Linked DNA regions of Danio rerio. The protein of the gene in region 3 interacts with the protein of the main gene of each other region in a biochemical or structural test. Links are inferred from orthologs where the notes say so. Each region holds a gene or a part of one and is shown on either strand. Other genes may lie near its edges. The genes, in order: usp4, tab1, map3k7 and ikbkb.

The links.
Region 1: of the proteins of map3k7 (region 3) and usp4, one has a biochemical effect on the other in vitro, tested with the Homo sapiens proteins (2 studies listed by BioGRID). The link is inferred for Danio rerio from reciprocal best matches to the Homo sapiens genes MAP3K7 and USP4.
Region 2: of the proteins of map3k7 (region 3) and tab1, one has a biochemical effect on the other in vitro, tested with the Homo sapiens proteins (4 studies listed by BioGRID and IntAct). The link is inferred for Danio rerio from reciprocal best matches to the Homo sapiens genes MAP3K7 and TAB1.
Region 4: of the proteins of map3k7 (region 3) and ikbkb, one has a biochemical effect on the other in vitro, tested with the Homo sapiens proteins (5 studies listed by BioGRID). The link is inferred for Danio rerio from reciprocal best matches to the Homo sapiens genes MAP3K7 and IKBKB.

Annotation. Positions count from the first base shown.
Region 1 is NC_133181.1:44,901,495-44,905,670, reverse strand, and holds part of usp4 (ubiquitin carboxyl-terminal hydrolase 4), read left to right. Parts: coding exon 1-106; intron 107-388; coding exon 389-615; intron 616-2,781; coding exon 2,782-3,006; intron 3,007-3,089; coding exon 3,090-3,160; intron 3,161-3,518; coding exon 3,519-3,634; intron 3,635-3,763; coding exon 3,764-3,913; intron 3,914-4,176.
Region 2 is NC_133181.1:477,780-481,732, reverse strand, and holds part of tab1 (TGF-beta-activated kinase 1 and MAP3K7-binding protein 1), read left to right. Parts: intron 1-777; coding exon 778-907; intron 908-1,385; coding exon 1,386-1,502; intron 1,503-1,675; coding exon 1,676-1,787; intron 1,788-2,044; coding exon 2,045-2,189; intron 2,190-3,953. UniProt on the Homo sapiens protein: Key adapter protein that plays an essential role in JNK and NF-kappa-B activation and proinflammatory cytokines production in response to stimulation with TLRs and cytokines.
Region 3 is NC_133195.1:26,789,627-26,793,802, reverse strand, and holds part of map3k7 (mitogen-activated protein kinase kinase kinase 7), read left to right. Parts: intron 1-1,262; coding exon 1,263-1,387; intron 1,388-4,176. UniProt on the Homo sapiens protein: Serine/threonine kinase which acts as an essential component of the MAP kinase signal transduction pathway. Plays an important role in the cascades of cellular responses evoked by changes in the environment.
Region 4 is NC_133183.1:3,546,963-3,551,886, forward strand, and holds the start of ikbkb (inhibitor of nuclear factor kappa-B kinase subunit beta), read left to right. Parts: upstream 1-1,576; 5' UTR 1,577-1,748; intron 1,749-4,819; 5' UTR 4,820-4,847; coding exon 4,848-4,924.

The DNA.
Region 1 (4,176 bases), on a different chromosome or scaffold from region 3:
GAGGCTCTTCGGGCACAATGCTCTTCGGTCAACCTCTTCTCATCACCGTCCCGCGCCTCAACCTCACCGTGGATACCCTCTACGAGCGCGTGCTGGAGAGAATTGGGTTAGTATTGTGTTTTCTTGTTCTTCTAGAGCAGTGGTCACCAAACTTGTTCCTGGAGGGCCGGTGTCCTGCAGATTTTAGCTCTAACCCTAATCAAACACACCTGAACAAGCTAATCAAGGTCTTACTAGGTATACTTGAAACATCCAGGCAGGTGTGCTGAGGCAAGATGGAGCTAAACCCTGCAGAGACACCGGCCCTCCTGGACCAGGATTGGTGACCCCTGTTCTAGAGTATTATTTTAATCCTGGCAATTAAACCAGACTTTTATTTTTATTTTAGGCGATACGTTAAACGTTCACAAGGTACCATTACAGAGAGTAGAGCATCTGCTTCAGCCACATCTTCTAGCAGCAGCCAATCACCAGAATGCCTCGCTTCAGTGTCCAGTCACGGCACAGGCCTGAGTGGCTGCAGCAGCCCAGTTTCAGATGGAGCTTCCTGCAGCGCTGGATCCAACGGCAGCAACCATTCTGGAACCTGCAACGGCCCTAATGGAGTTTGTGATGGTAGGATAGTCTGACTTTCATAAAGCTCCCAAATGCTGTCGTTTAGTATGTTTACATGGATGCCAGAACTCTGATTTTAATTTGTTTGAGATAATACTCTGATTAAAATGCTGAAGTTTCTTTCCATTTGGTGAACGGTATCAAATTTCTGTCATTCCTTGCTTCATACTAGCAAGCTAAATATATTGTTTTAGCATCGATATTGCAATGTGTACATCCGCAATAGTCACATCGCAAAGATATAATTAAGTCTGAATGATAGTTGAACAGAATTGTATTTAATCACTTTATTTATATGGAATTCATGTGATTTATGCTAAACAAAAATAATTAGAATATAAATATAAATTAAAAATAAAAAATATTTATTAAATATAAAAATAATATAGAAAAATACCCTACAAGCAGATAATTTAGCTTGTTTTAAGAAAAAATTCTTTATTTTGACTTATTTCTAATGCTGTGTATCTATTTAATATAACATGTATAATGTGAACATAGAAGGACCATTCTAAAAGCAACTCGTATAAACATCTTAATCATATTGTTGCCTTATTTAGATTAAGGTAATTACTGATGTCCATGTAAACAAATTCAATCAAGTAATCGGTAATCTAAAATTTAAAGAAATTTAAAGAAATAGTGTCAAAATTGTCATAATTTTATTTATTATTATTTTTTTTTTACATGTTTCAAACCTTTGAGTTTCATTTTTTCATTAAATGAAGATGCACTAAAACAAGATCTTTTGAAGAAAGCTGTAAACCTGTAACCATTGACTTCCATGTTTTCCCTCTTTCTTGTTGTATGTATTTAGTTTGTAGAATGGTTCGTTGCACACATCGTTACATCCTAATGCTACGGTTTCCTCCAGAATTTCACATTTAAATCATTATGGTGTGATATACTGTTTGGGGTGTAATTTTATGAAAGCTTCAAGTGAAGTAAATTATTTGTCATGCTATATGTGAAAACAGACAAAGGCAGATACAAATTCTTGCTCGACCTTTGTTGTTGTTTTTATGTGAAACTGTTGACCGCTGCTGTGTGTGAATCCAATCACAAAATGCTGTGGAAAAAAAATGCATGTCTAAACTGTTCATCAGTAAGGAGACTCAAATAGGAATTTAATTTGTGTTTACTTCACTTATGAAGCTGGTTAAAGATGCTCAAATCTCAGTTTAATGCATTCTTAATCAGAGTATTGTCTTATGTGTGTAAATATTGAGAAATTGTACATTTACTGACATTCATCATAGTACAGATTAGCAGTATTAGATTCTGATGGTATGATGACCTTAGATAAAAATATTGCAGTTTCACTGTATTGATTACTACTCTAAAATATATTATTTTTAAATGTCTGGGTAAAAAATTAAGCATAATATATTTTATTTTGAGAAACATTTAAAATATTTTGGAACAGTAATCATCCCAGCGAGCACAGGATGTCAACATAATGTCAGATTGATATTGGACCCCAATGTTAAGGCGATGTTGCATTTTGTTTAGATTTGAAAATCAAGTTGATGTAAAATCAACCAAATATCAATGTCTAATGATGTTACACTTTAACTATATATCAGACTTTGGATTTTGGTTGCCATACCTGATGAATAAATGTCATTATTTGACGTCAACATGACGTTGGTTTAAGATGTTGGCTCAATGTAGGATTTTAGTCACTTTCCAACACATACTAAAATCAATTAAATAGCAACATCATTTGTGTCATTATTGGACGTCAAATAACCGTTGTCCTTAGACGCTAGCTAGATATTGCATTTTGGTCACCTGACATCACGACCTACATCTAACCTAATATTAACGTCATGTGATTTTGTGCGCCTGCTTGGATGTCAGGTTAAATAATTCAAATAAATAATTGAATCAATCATTTTGCTGTCATCATTGGTTTCAAAAACAGATTTCTGTATAATTTAAAACACAATCTTTGGATATCTTTACTGCTAGACATACTGTTGTCCTAAAAACTTAAAAAAAAAAAAAAAAAGTAATTAAAAGTCTTATACTTACCTTAGTAACAGTATAGCAGAAAATTTTGGCGGTTTTAAAACCTCGAATTTTCCAAACTGCCGTATACATTGAACACTGTTATCGTCCAATGTCTAGTACAGATCTACTATTGTTTAATGTTTGTTTTAGGAGATGAGGAAGCTATGGACCACCAGGAGAGTCCAGAGCCAGAAAACAGCCATTCGGACACTGTGGACGGAGAGGAGGATTCTGAACCAGAGAATGGGCCAAATAGTAGCGGAGGAAAATCTTTTAATTCTCGGCCAAAACTCTTTTCTTTCAGCATGGTCAACTCCTACGGCACAGCCAACATCAGTTCTCTTCCATTTGATGGCAATCTACTGAAGCTAACAAGTAACTATAACCATTTGACGTTTTAAAATAGTAACAAAAAATAAGTAAGATCTTGCATTAAGAACAGCCGTTTCTTTCTACAGCTCACTCAACAGTAGCCATTGATTGGGACTCGGACACAAAAAGATTGTGCTATGATGATCAGGAAGCTGAGGTACTTGTCATAATTTTTTGTTTATTATAATGTAGATTATTTCTGTGATGGAAAAAGCTGCTATTACTCCAGTCATCAGTGGTAGAAATCATTCTGACATGCTGATTTGCTGCTCAATAAACATTTCTTATTGTCAGCGATGTTAAAAATAGTCATGCTGCTTAATTTGTTTTACTCATTTGTAAAGGTTTCAAATATAAATTTTTTACAACATGATCTTGTTGCATAAATGTTGTGACTTTTGATCAGCTGAGTGTGTCTTTACTGTACAAGTGTTTTACTGTACATTTTTTGAACATTTTCAAAATGGAGCATTTAATTTTCAGCCATTAGACATTAATGTAAAATCTCTTCCTAGGCCTATGACAAACACGAGAGTATGCTTCATGCTCAAAAGAAGAAGACTACAGTAGCTTTACGGGAATGCATTGAGCTCTTTACTACAATGGAGACTTTAGGAGAGCATGATCCATGGTGAGGAGCATGTTCAGGTTATTGCATGTCACCGTTAATACTTATATTTTTAAGGTCAACTGTTTTAGCAGAGCATTGCAACGTTAGTGCTGTTTTAATAGGGTTTTTGTTTGCTGTGCACCTCTTCAGGTACTGCCCCACGTGTAAGAAACACCAGCAGGCCACTAAGAAGTTTGATCTGTGGTCTCTTCCACGCATTTTGGTTGTGCATCTGAAGCGCTTCTCCTACAACCGCTGCTGGAGAGACAAGCTCGACACTGTTGTGGACTTTCCAATTAGGTACATCTTTTGCAAAACATCTGATTGTTTTGTTATTATTATCATCATTATTATTTATACAATATTTTTTTATACTATTATGAAGATGGATAGATGGATAAATATTTTTATATAGATCTAGAATTATAATTTGTGTCCGTATATTTTAAACCTGTTAATCATGTTTATTTAAACTAGCTTAATATCACAAGTCATGTAATAGTTTCCTGGAAAATGTTGAATCTGTCCTTTTAAAGGAATAATTTTATTTATCTTATGCTAGA
Region 2 (3,953 bases), on a different chromosome or scaffold from region 3:
CAACCACGATCACACACGCACACACACACACACATTTACAAACGCACACTCACAAACAGAGTTACACCACACACACATACTCAAATACAAACACAGTTACAATCGCACACACCCTAACAAACACACATTTCGAACACACACTTACAAACACAGTTACAACCACAAACACACACACACACACACACACATTTACAAACACACACTCACAAACACAGTTACAACCACACACACACTCATTAACAAACACACACTTACAAACACAGTTACAACCACAACCACACACACAAACACACACACACACACACACAAACACACACACACACACACATTTACAAACACACACTCACAAACACAGTTACAACCACAAACACACACACACACACACATTTACAAAGACACCTTCACCAACACAGTTACAACCACACACACTCATTAACAAACACACATTTACAAACACACACTCACAAACACAGTTAAAACCACACACACACTCATTAACAAACACACACTTACAAACACAGTTACAACCACAACCACACACACAAACACACACACACACACACACACAAACACACACACACACACATTTACAAACACACACTCACAAACACAGTTACAACCACACACACTCCCAAACATACATTTGCAAACAAACAAACACACTCACACACACATACTCACAAACACACGTTTACAAATAAACACACACACACTCACAAACAGTTACAAACACTCACACATTCAATAGTGTGTGTGTGTGTGTGTGTGTGTGTGTAGGGTGCGTATGTGTCCGCTCAGACACAGAAGATAGCAGACCGTCTGAAGACTTTAGAGCAGGAGGTTTCAGGAGGAGCAACAGCGATAGTGGCGCTCATCCTCAACAACAAACTCTACATCGCTAACGTAGGTATGTACACACACACACACACACATTTTAACATACATACTTTTACACACATGCATACATGCTCTTACACATACACACATTCTGTCATTCACACACTAACATACACACACACAAATACACACATAGTTTTACACACAAACAAATAAACTGTTTATTCACACTACACACACACACTCTTACACATGCACTCCTACACACACATTCTAACATACACACATGCATACATACATACACACACTATTCACACACTCTAACATACACACACAAACAAACACACACAAATACAATCAGTTTGAAACACACTTACACACAGAAAATAAACACACACTCTTACACACACACACACACACACACACACGCACACTACAGTTGTTGATGTGTGTAAGCGTCTACTGAATGTGTAACTGTAATGTTCTGTGTGTGTGTGTGTGTGTGTGTGTGTGTGTGTGTGTGTGTGTGTGTGTGTGTGTGTGTTCAGGCACTAATCGAGCTCTCCTGTGCAAAACCACCAGTGATGGTCAGAATCAGGTGATCCAGATCGGCCGAGCACACACCACTGATAATGAAGACGAGCTGACCAGACTCGCACAGCTGGGTGAACACACACCACACAGCACAACACACACAGAGTCAACACAACATAACACAACTCATTCATTAGTCTGCAAGTAACAGCGTGGGCAGAAATATGACGAGTGTATGTGTGTGCGTGCGATCTCAGTGATGTTTGTGTGTAAATGTGTGTGTGTGTGTGTGTGTTCTGCGCAGGTCTGGATCCGGTGCGCTTGAGACAGACAGCAGTGATCTCAGGTCAGAGCAGCACTCGCCGCATCGGAGATTATAAAGTCAAGTTCAACTACACAGACATCGACGTGCTCAGGTGTGTGTTCATCTGTCAGTAATCACACACACACACACACATTAAAGAGATGTATTGTTTATAATCACACTGTGATTGACATTCTCCCTTTGCACGTGTCATCAGAGGGGGAAAGCCCCGCCCACTAGTGCCCATCTCTCCCTCATTAGCATAAACAGTAGCCCTGAGTGAGCACAGGGGCGGAGAGGAGGAGGGGTTAATATTTGTTTTTATTAAAGCAGCAACCAACCGAACATGTGTTTAACTAATGTTCACAGTGCAGCAAAGCATAAGCCAATCATCGCAGAGCCTGAGATCCACGGCGGCCAATCACTGGCAGGCGTGACGGGCTTCTTGCTGCTGATGTCAGAGGGGCTCATCAAAGCCCTGGAGGCGGCACACGGACCGGAGCAGGTCAACCAGGTAGATCAATAACCAATCATCAGCTCAAGATGCTGCACAAACACAGAGGGTGCGTCTCAATCAGCGCTCTTGTTCACTAGTCAGTGCACTGAATAAGGCGTCAGCTGTCTCAATTGCAAAACTCCTCCAGTGCACTGAAACATTCGCAGGCTAAAGAGTACCACAGTGCATGTGAAAATAAGGGCGGATGGATACACACTACATGCACCCTAACAGACATTGGGAAGTGTGAATATTATTAATGTGACCCAAATCATCAAACGGAACGACAATATATGTATAAAGAATACATTATTTATTTACTATTAGCATGAACCCACATAGCTAGATAGGTTAGCAAACATTCTATATTCCCTGAGGGGGTGTGGTGCCTGTTCATATTCCAAGTGGGTGTGGCCTAAAATATCTGTCTATTGATTCCTCAAGTGGGTGTAGCCTAAATTATCTGCGTCTATTGATCTCCTGGGTGGGCGTGGCATAAGGGCACTGTTTCTATTTATTCCCAAGTGGGTTTGACCTAAATGCTTTCTGTTTCTTGATTTCCTGAGTGGGCGTGTCCTAAATGCATGGTTTCCATTTATTCCTTAGTGGGTGTGTCCTAAATGCTTTCTATCTCTAGTAATTCCCTGAGTGGGAGTGTCCTAAATGTAAATGTTCTATTTATTCCCAAGTGGGTGTGGCCTAAATGCTTTCTGTCTCTATTGATTCCCTCAGTGGGCGTGTCCTAAATGCAATTTTTTTATCCCGAGTGGGTGTGTTCTAAATACATGGTTTCTATTTATTCTCAAGTGGGTGTGGCCTAAATGCTTTTTGTCTCTATTGATTCCCTGAGTGGGCGTGTCTTAAATGCACATTTTTTATTCCCAAATGGGCGTGACCTAAATTCTTTTTCTCTATTAATTCCCTGAGTGGGCGTGTCCTAATTGCACAGTTTCTATTTATTCCCAAGTGGGCGTGGCCTGATTGCTTTATCTCTTTTGATTACCTCAGTGGGTGTGTCCTAAATGTAAATGTTCTATTTATTCCCAAGTGGGTGTGGCCTAAATGCTTTCTGTCTCTATTTCCTGAGTGGGCGTGTCCTTAAAGCACATTTTCTGTTGATTCCCAAGTGGGTGTGGCCTAAATGCTTTCTGTCACTAAAGATTCCCCAGAGGGGGCATGGCCTAAATGCTTTGTCACTAATGATTTCTGAGAGGGTGTGGCCTAAATTATTTATATCTCTATTGATTCCCTAAGTGGGCGTGTCCTAAATGCACAGTTTCTATTTATTCCTTCGTGGGTGTGGCCTAAATGCTTTCTATCTCTATTAATTCCCTGAGTGGGAGTGTCCTAAATGTAAATGTTCTATTTATTTCTCAGTGGGCGTGTCCTAAATGCAATTTTTTAATCCCCTGAGTGGGTGTGTCCTAAATGCACAGTTTCCATTTATTCCCAAGTGGGTGTGGCCTGATTGCTTTATCTCTTTTGATTTCTTCAGTTGGCGTGTCCTAAATATAAATGTTCTATTTATTCCCAAGTGGGTGTGGCCTAAATGCTTTTAGTCTCTATTGATTCCCTGAGTGGGCGTGTCCTAAATGCACATTTTTTATTCCCAAGTGGGTGTGGCCTAAATGCTTTCTGTCTCTATTGATTTCCTGAGTGGGCGTGTCCTAAATGCACATGTTCTGTTGATTCCCAAGTGGGTGTGGCCTAAATGCTTTTAGTCTCTATTGATTCCCTGAGTGGGCGTGTCCTAAATGCACATTTTTTATTCCCAAGTGGGTG
Region 3 (4,176 bases):
ATTTTTGATTGCGACTTGTAAAAAGCATTTACGTCCTTGATGAGCCATTTTCTGAAGCTTTAAATGCATCATGCACATGCATATATAAATGAATGCTGCAATAGACACCTGACTTTTCATTTAATAAACACTTTATTCGTGAGACACACTCTGCCAATATTAAGTTTTTAAGTAATTTTAGGTTATATGTTTACATACAACTTGCAGAAAAAGGATAAAATGTGTATTTCAAATTGCATGATGCATTTAGCAGGCCTAAATAAGTTTTTTGCATCAGGTGTTTACACACAAATTAAGCAGTTTAAAAGTTTATGAACATTGAATGTTCCTTTGAAATGACTTTTGGTGCAATAAATAATCCTGAATAATTAAAAGTGTTTAAAATAGTCTTTAAATGTATTTTGTAACTATGAAATTTAAATACTAAAAAAAGCCCCTGCTTATGCAATACTAGAACCATGTCTATATAACCATGGAAATATACGTACACACAATAACACTAAATTTGTATATTTGTAAAATAAAGAAAATAAACAAGATGAGCTTTCTCTCATGCAGTCTCTGTGAAATCTTGATGAAAAGAAATGTCTGCAGCGTCTGCAATCTTTATATTTTCATCCACTGACTGAGAATAATGCTGCACTATTTTAATAACAAATTATTAAAATGTTTTCTTTTCCTCCAACAGACTCTTAATCATTACTTTAACTGGTGTGAGATTTTTGAGCGCTGAATAGGCTATAAGCGCCTAATATATAAATATTTTTCTTTCTTTCTTTTTTATTTATTTATTTTATTTAGGCACCGACACACCCGTGGCTACGCCCCTGTTAAAAAGGAATTATAAGTTTGGTCCTATCCTATCATCAGTATGATCATCAGTATTTATTGACATTAAAATAAGATTTAAAAAAACAAACTTGAAACAAAATTGATAATGAGAATAAAAATATATTGTTTTAGCAACCTATAGAAATAACACTCGTCGTAGATGTCACAGGATGACTGATCGAGAAGGAACATATAGTCTGGCACATTTGCTACCCACGACAAGTCAAGATTTTATCAAGAAAAGAAATTGCATGATCTGACATAGTGACTTTGTAAACGTCAATAAAAATCGTGTGATCAGACTGGGGCTTAAGACTATTTTTGCCAAAGTACTGCCAAATTCATTTGTAAAGTGAGTTCCATGTGTGTGTTTTTTTCCCTCTGGGAGATCTCTTTATTTATTTGTTTATGTCTGTTTTTCCTTCTACTAGTCTGCTCCTGGTTGCTGGAGGTACTGTCCTGAAGATCTGTGACTTCGGGACAGCGTGTGACATCCAGACTCACATGACTAACAATAAGGGAAGTGCTGCCTGGATGGCCCCAGAAGTGTTCGAAGGCAAGTTTTGAATACTTTCCTTTCCATAAGCATTTTTCATGCTTGTACTGTCATTGGCTTTGCCTTGGAGACATTGTTTTTGTTTGTCCCAGATGATTTTGAGGTCAAAAATGATTTCCTGTTAACCTTTTCACCCCCTTTCTTCCTGTATTTCTCATTAATTGACTTCACACAGGCCTCTTTAGTCTTCGCTATCACTCATACAAATATTTCCCTAAAACCAGAATTAGTGGATGTTCCTGGTCTAGATGATGGATGAAAGCATTATAATTTAATGCATGCGTCCGCAATCAACCGGTAATGGGTTTCAATTTTAGCAAACACGTTCAGGGGCATTTTACTGTCAGGGGGGTCGGAGGAAACATCAATTAGGAGCAGGTTGTTATCTTGTTTGTTTGGGGAGGAGCAGAAATCCCATGTTATTACTCCACTAGTGCTGACAGCAGAGGAGACGAAGCTCTCCTTATTTGCTGCACTGACAACAGTATTATCAGAAGACCAGAGCAAGGCAGCGTAAAGACATACCAGCGCAAGTCGCTGTAATTTAAGAATAATAAGAGCAGCAATTAAGGCTCTCCAGGGCAGCATGAGAGGAAATTAGCTCATCTGTTCAAAAAGGGCAGACAAGATAAAGGCTTTCCCACCCTGGACGGCAGAAAAGGAGCTTATGGGAAATAGCTTTGCTGCTTTGTTGTGTGATACCCTTTGATTGCATATTATTATTTTGGGCAGCTCGACATCAACAAAATATCTTCAAAATGATTCTAGTTTGTCTGCATTAAACATCTGCAATTATTTTAATAGCATGTGTCATATAAAGGGCATTTGATGGTTTGTCCACCACACTAGTTATGCACCTATATTAAAGGTGCTGTTTGTAATGTTTTTAATTTTTTTAAGCATAACATCATATGTTTGCAGATATTTAAGAAACATGCTAAGTAAAAATTCTTGTATATTTGAAAAACAATGCTAAAGTTATATATTCTGCTTTGAGAATGCAAGTTATGTGCCAAAAGGCTGTCTGTTTTAGTTCTTTTAACTCGCCCACTGCTAGTTTAGCCAATTATATTTCAGCACCTCAGGTTGCCTTGTTGGAAAACAGCGTATTTCATTCATTTATTAATTCAGAAAGGCTCTCAAGGCATGCGCCTATGACTGAAATGCGACCACCTGTGGTCAGTAGCAGACTCCGAAATGAGACACAGATTCAGAGATCCACATTAGGTTAATAATTAGCAAATCATTTAAACATATTATGAATGTAAACATTAGGTGAGCAGGTTACATTTTAACCCTATTTCTTAACAGCACGTTACGTGGCGAGATACGCAGTAGTAAGCAATGTGGCTGTTTGCACCAGACGAAACAAGACAGAAATTTAAACAGCCATTCAGAAGCACAGAATATGCACTCACTCACAGAATGGTAAGGTTTATAATCTAATCAATACATATTAAATAATACCACCATTATTTAGTGTAAAGGCTAAAGTCACAGTTTTGAAGTTCAATTTCAAACGGTTTATTTTATTTTCTAGATATGAGGTGATCTAGATCTATCTGCTCCTGCTTTCAATAGTATGCCAATAGATGTCATGAATGACATTCAAACTTACATTATTAGCATTTAACACTGAATAAAGCACATGAGGTGTACCTGAGGTGATCATTTTCAGTTTTTTGTTGTTCAGCTGCAAGAAAAAGAAGCTGTTTCTCAAATATTAATTTGATTTGTTGGTTGGAACAAAAACTCCTTTTAATATGAAAATATTCCTTCTATTGCGTGCCTTTGCTTTTATATAGAACACAGTTTGAATCCGCCTTTAGGCTTAATTGTCTTGTAATTGACTTGCTCCTAGTCTTGAATCTGGCAACCTGCGCTTGCATTTGTTTTGATCCAGAAATGCAATTCCTAGTTCAACCACCTTTAATCTGCATATTAAGTGTGATGTCACGCAAAGCGGCTTCTGGGTCCAAGTGCTCAATCAAACTGTATGGGGAGACGACTGTAATACTTTTGAAAATCACGGTGTATATATATATATATATATATATATATATATATATATATATATATATATATATATATATATATATATATATATATATATATATATATATATATATCCATGCCTTATTTCCGATGGCTAGAAAGTTAAGCCAGGGACTGTTGTGTACACTATGATTTTATATAAAATTCCCTTTTATGTGGGATATGACTAAAAATTTATCATGAATGAATATTTTCTCTATTCAAATGAATGGCAACTTGGACCCGTAAACAGTATACCATTCGTCATGACTTAACAAGCGGATAGATAATTTATTTATTTTTTTTGTTAATGCTGTGTATCTTGTCTGGGTTTTTTTTACATTATTTTTTAAATTGCAGTTAAATTCATATCAAAAACTAGAATTTGAAGGTGCAGATTTAAGATGCGTTTAGAATGTCATGCTATCACTATCAATTAATATGTGGGGTCAGTAAGTGTTTCTGCTTTTATTTGATCAAAATATTGTAAAGAATATGCTTTAAATGCTTTGCTGTTTGAGGATTGGTTTATTCAGTTTGAGTTTGATTTAAAGGCAAAATTCTTTCTGGAAAATATAAGAAGCTCAACATTCTTTTACCAGTCCTGATTAAAACACAAACCAACAGCGTTTGGCACTTATGCTGCTAAGAGCATTAACTAAAGCTGCTGCTCTTCATCTGATTTTCTATTGTTGTCTTTCTCTGTTAATTGTAATTAGTTTATAAGTTATCCTAGAAATCTAGTTTATTCTCTA
Region 4 (4,924 bases), on a different chromosome or scaffold from region 3:
TATTTACTATGTAATTACTATAAATGTAGGCAATACTTAACGCTTTATAATTCTTCGTTGAGTATGTTTAGCATACAGTAATGTCTTATACGGAAAGGTAGAAAACTAGTACAGTTGTTTATATTAGCCTACTATAGTTGTTGTGTTACCATGGTAATTACAGAGTTACCGCAACAGATTTATTCAAGTATGTTACGGTTAAAATTATATTTATAATTACTGTAGTATTTTTCTTGTGGGTAATAATAAATGCTGTATAATTCTTTTGAAGTACGTTAAGCCTACAGTACAGTTGTTTATATTAGCTAACTATAGTGGTTGTGTGTTACCATAGCAACTAGAGTTACCACAACAGATTAATTCAAATCAAAAACATAATATTTACTATATAATTACTGTAGTATCTTTTATGTAGGTAATAATAAATGTGGTATAATTCTTCATAAAGTATGCCTACAGTACAGTTGTTTATATTAGCATACTATTGTTGTCGTGTTACTATAGCAACTTCATAGTTACCACAACAAATTAAAGTAGGCTACTTTACGGTTTAAAATTATATTCACTGTGACTGTATAATTACAGAAGTATTCTTCATGTACGTAATAATAAATCCTGTATAATTCTTCAGTATGCTTAACCTACAGTACAGTAGTGTTGTATACAATACAGAAGAAAACTAGTACAGTGGTTTATATTAGCCTACTATAGTTGTTGTGTTACCATAGTAACTACAGAGTTACCGCAACAGATTTATTCAAGTACGTTACGGTTAAAAACATATTTATAATTACTGTTGTATTTTTCATGTGGGTATAATAATTGCCGTATAATTCTTTGTGAAGTATGTTAAGCCTAGTTGTTTATATTAGCCTACTATAATAACTGTAGTATCTTTCACGTAGGTAATGCTGTATATAGCATATAGCATACAGTACAGAAGAAAACTAGTAGTTGTTTACCCTACTATTGTTGTTGTGTGTTACTAGTAAGTATAGTTGCAACAACAGACTTATTCAACTACTGTACAGTTAAAAAACATAAGATTTACTATATAATTACAGTAGTAGCTAATATTCTTCGTGTAGGTAAGGATACATGTCCTATAATTCTTCAGTACAGTACAGTCTTGTATACAGTACAGTAGAAAGCTAGTACAGTTGTTTATATTAGCCTACCATAGTTATTGTGTTATGATATTAACTACAGAGTTACTACAACATATTTATTGAAGTACTTTACGGTTCAAAAACATTATATTTATAACTACTGCGTATCTTTCATGTAGTTAATAATAAATGCTGTATATTTCATGACGTATGTTTACCCAGTACAGTTGTTTACATTAGCCAAATATAGTAGTTGTGTTACCATAGCAACTACCCCAACAGGTTAATTCAAATAAAAAACATAATATTTATTATATAATTACTGTAGTATCTTTAATCTCGGTAATAATAAATGTAAAATTCTTCGTGAAGTATTTTTAGTATGCAGTATGTACAGTACAGTAGGCTATTGAAAATACGGAAGTCTGTTTTTGAGTCTGCGCTTCTACGGTACTTACGGGGGAAAGTTTCAGGAAGTAGAGAAACTCAACGCTCTTCTGCTTTCAAACACAATCACAAACCTCTTTACAGTCTGATTTACCGAACAAATCCGTTAAATGTGTAAAAGTCGCGGGAATAATCAGCTGTGAGACGGAGAAAAGTGTATTTTGGAGGTCAGATCCAGTCTTACAGCAGCAGGTAAAATCACTTCACATTCACGACACGATGAGTTCCAGTAAACACGAAGAGTGTTATCGCACATAAACAATCTTAAACATATGTAACGTTACTTTACTTACTTAGGTAGAGTTATTTTGTAATTCAGCAGCTGTATGAAGCTTTAAGATAATCAGATTGTGTGTACAAATATCAAACACGAGCCGGTTATTAAAAACGAAAGTGATTCATTCATCAAAGTTAAATAATATTTAATAAAATCGCAGCTTTTAAGTTGTCCAAATGAGTATGTAATCTTAATTGTATAATTTGTATATCTAAGTACACTTAAAATAGACCCAAATACATAATATAGCTAATACAATAACATTCTAATTAATTACAGTTACTAAACTATAACAATATAACACAGTTACTAAATAATAATAATTATTAATCTATAAACTCTTATTGTGTGACTCTTATTTTGTCATTTATATCCACATACACCCAGAATAGAAACCAAATGCATAATATATTCAATACAATAACATTTTACTTAATTACATAGGTACTAATAACAATGAATCTATTAACTAAAGAAAACAATCATTATAATTTTTAATAATAACTATTGTATTCAACATTTAACAGCTGTATGAAACTTTAAACTAATAGATTTTTGTTCAAAGAAAAAGTGAATGAATACACTACATTTTTAATCAATTACGTAGTTACTAAATACTAATAATTACAACATAATATTTTGTAAACAAGAATGATCCTATTTTAATAAGTATTGTAATTCAGCAGCTGTATGTAAATTTGTCCCGATTTTGTGTACAAAAAATGCACAGGTCATAAAAAAGCCATTCATTTATCAAAGCTGCATAATACACATATTTATCACTGTTTTAAAAGTGTTTGTTATTTTAAATCAGTCTTTAGTCATCTGAACGACGATGCGGGCTCTTATTTTGTCATTTGTACATCTAAATACTCTTTAAATACACTCATAATAGAACCAGATACATAATAATAAACATTCTATAAATGCTGGGTTGTCTTAACATGTTTGGTCATTTATAGACAGAAGTGGTAATGGATTGATTTTATCAATTCAATTTAAATGAGACCTTTCCATTTTTGTCTATATTTAACCCAGCATTGGGTTGAAACTCATTCAGTGCACCAATACAACAGCGTTCTAATTAATCATGTAGTTACTAAATGCATTTTAATTTAACAAACTAAAGAAAACAATTATAGGTTAAATAATTATATTATATATAATTTATAATTATAGTTTTAATAATAATACTAATTATAAAATCCAGAAAATAAAAGTAAATAATAATAATTATACTAAAAGTAAAAATATTAATAGCAATAATACTTTTATTGTTCTAATAAAACATTGTAGTTCGTTATTTTTCAGACAAGAGCTTCAAGATATATAATTTGTCCTTATACCTTGGGTCAAATATAGACAAATCTAACTGTTGGGTTAAAATATTTAATTTAATTTAATTTAAGAGATTAACCCATTGGTTGGGTTTGTCCATATTTGACCCAGTATCAGGTTAAAACAACCCATTTGTTTTTTGGGGGACCAACGCAATAACATTATAATTATTATAATATAGATAAGTATTGATTATTAACATTATAATGGTTACCGAATATATTTTAATTAAAATAAACTAAAGAAAACAATAATTACAATATTTAAATAATACAATAATTTAAGTTTTGATTATTAACATTATAATGGTTACTGAATATATTTTAATTAAAATAAACTAAAGAAAACAATAATTGCAATATTTAAATAATACAATAATTTAAGTTTTGATTATTAACATTATAATGGTTACTGAATATATTTTAATTAAAATAAACTAAAGAAAACAATAATTGCAATATTTAAATAATACAATAATTCTAAAACAATAATAAAAAATAATATAATACAATAATATTCATTGTACTAATAGTAATAATAATAATAATTTTATTGACCTAATCAAACATTATTTTTTAGACGAGAGCTTCCAGAGATATAATGTCTTCATACATTTTAAAAACGTTGGGTCAAATATGGACAAATTCAACTGTTGGGTTAATTTTTTTTAATTTTTCATTTAGTTGAAAAAAATAACCTAGTGGTTGGGTTTGTCCATTTTGACCCAGCATTGGGTTAAAACAATACATTTGTTTTTTGGTGGGACCAATACAATAACACTCTAATTAATTAATAACATTCTAATTAATTACGCATAGCTACTAAATACATTTTAATTAAAAAAAACTAGACACAACAATAATTGCAATATTTTTAAAATAATGATTCTAAAATCATAAAAAAATATTAATATTAATAAAAAATATATTAATTGTACTAATTGTAATAGGAATAATATTTTTTTGTCCTAATTAAACATTCATTTTTATACAAGAGCTTACAGAGATATCATTTGTCTTCATACATTCTAAAAATCATTGTGTAAAATATGCACAAAACCAACTATTGGGTTAAAAAATGTTTCATAAATTTACCCAGTGGTTGAGTCGATCCATATTTGACCCAGCATTGAGTTAAAAACAACTATTTTTTTTTTGTTTTTGTTTTTTAGAGTTAACCAAAACAATAACATTCTAAATAATTTATAACATTGTAATTAATTGCGTATAGTTACTTAATACATTTTAATTAAAAGAAAACTAAAGAAAAATATAATTACACTAGTTAAATAATAATAATTCTAAAATAAAAAAATATTACATCTAAAAATATAATAAAATAATAATGCTTGCACTAATAGTAATAATATTTTTATTGTCCTAATAAAACATAATTGATTAGATGAGAGCTTCTAGGGATATAATTTGTCCTTATACACTAACAAAAAAAGTTGGGTCAAATATGTACAAATTCAACTGTTGGGTTAAAAAAATAATTTAATTGAAAAAAAAAAATCTAATGATTGGTTTCATCCATATTTAACCAAGTGTTGGGTAAATACAATTCAGAGCATGAGCTTAATAAATATATGCTAGATCTGTGTGCTTTTAATATAAGATATGCAGACAGATGTTGTTTTCTCCTGCAGGGTGTGTGTGTGTGTGTGAGGGGCCATCATGAGCCGTCCGCCCTCCATGCAGCCACAGACGTGCGGCCCCTGGGAACTTAAGGAGCGACTGGGAACCGGAGGATT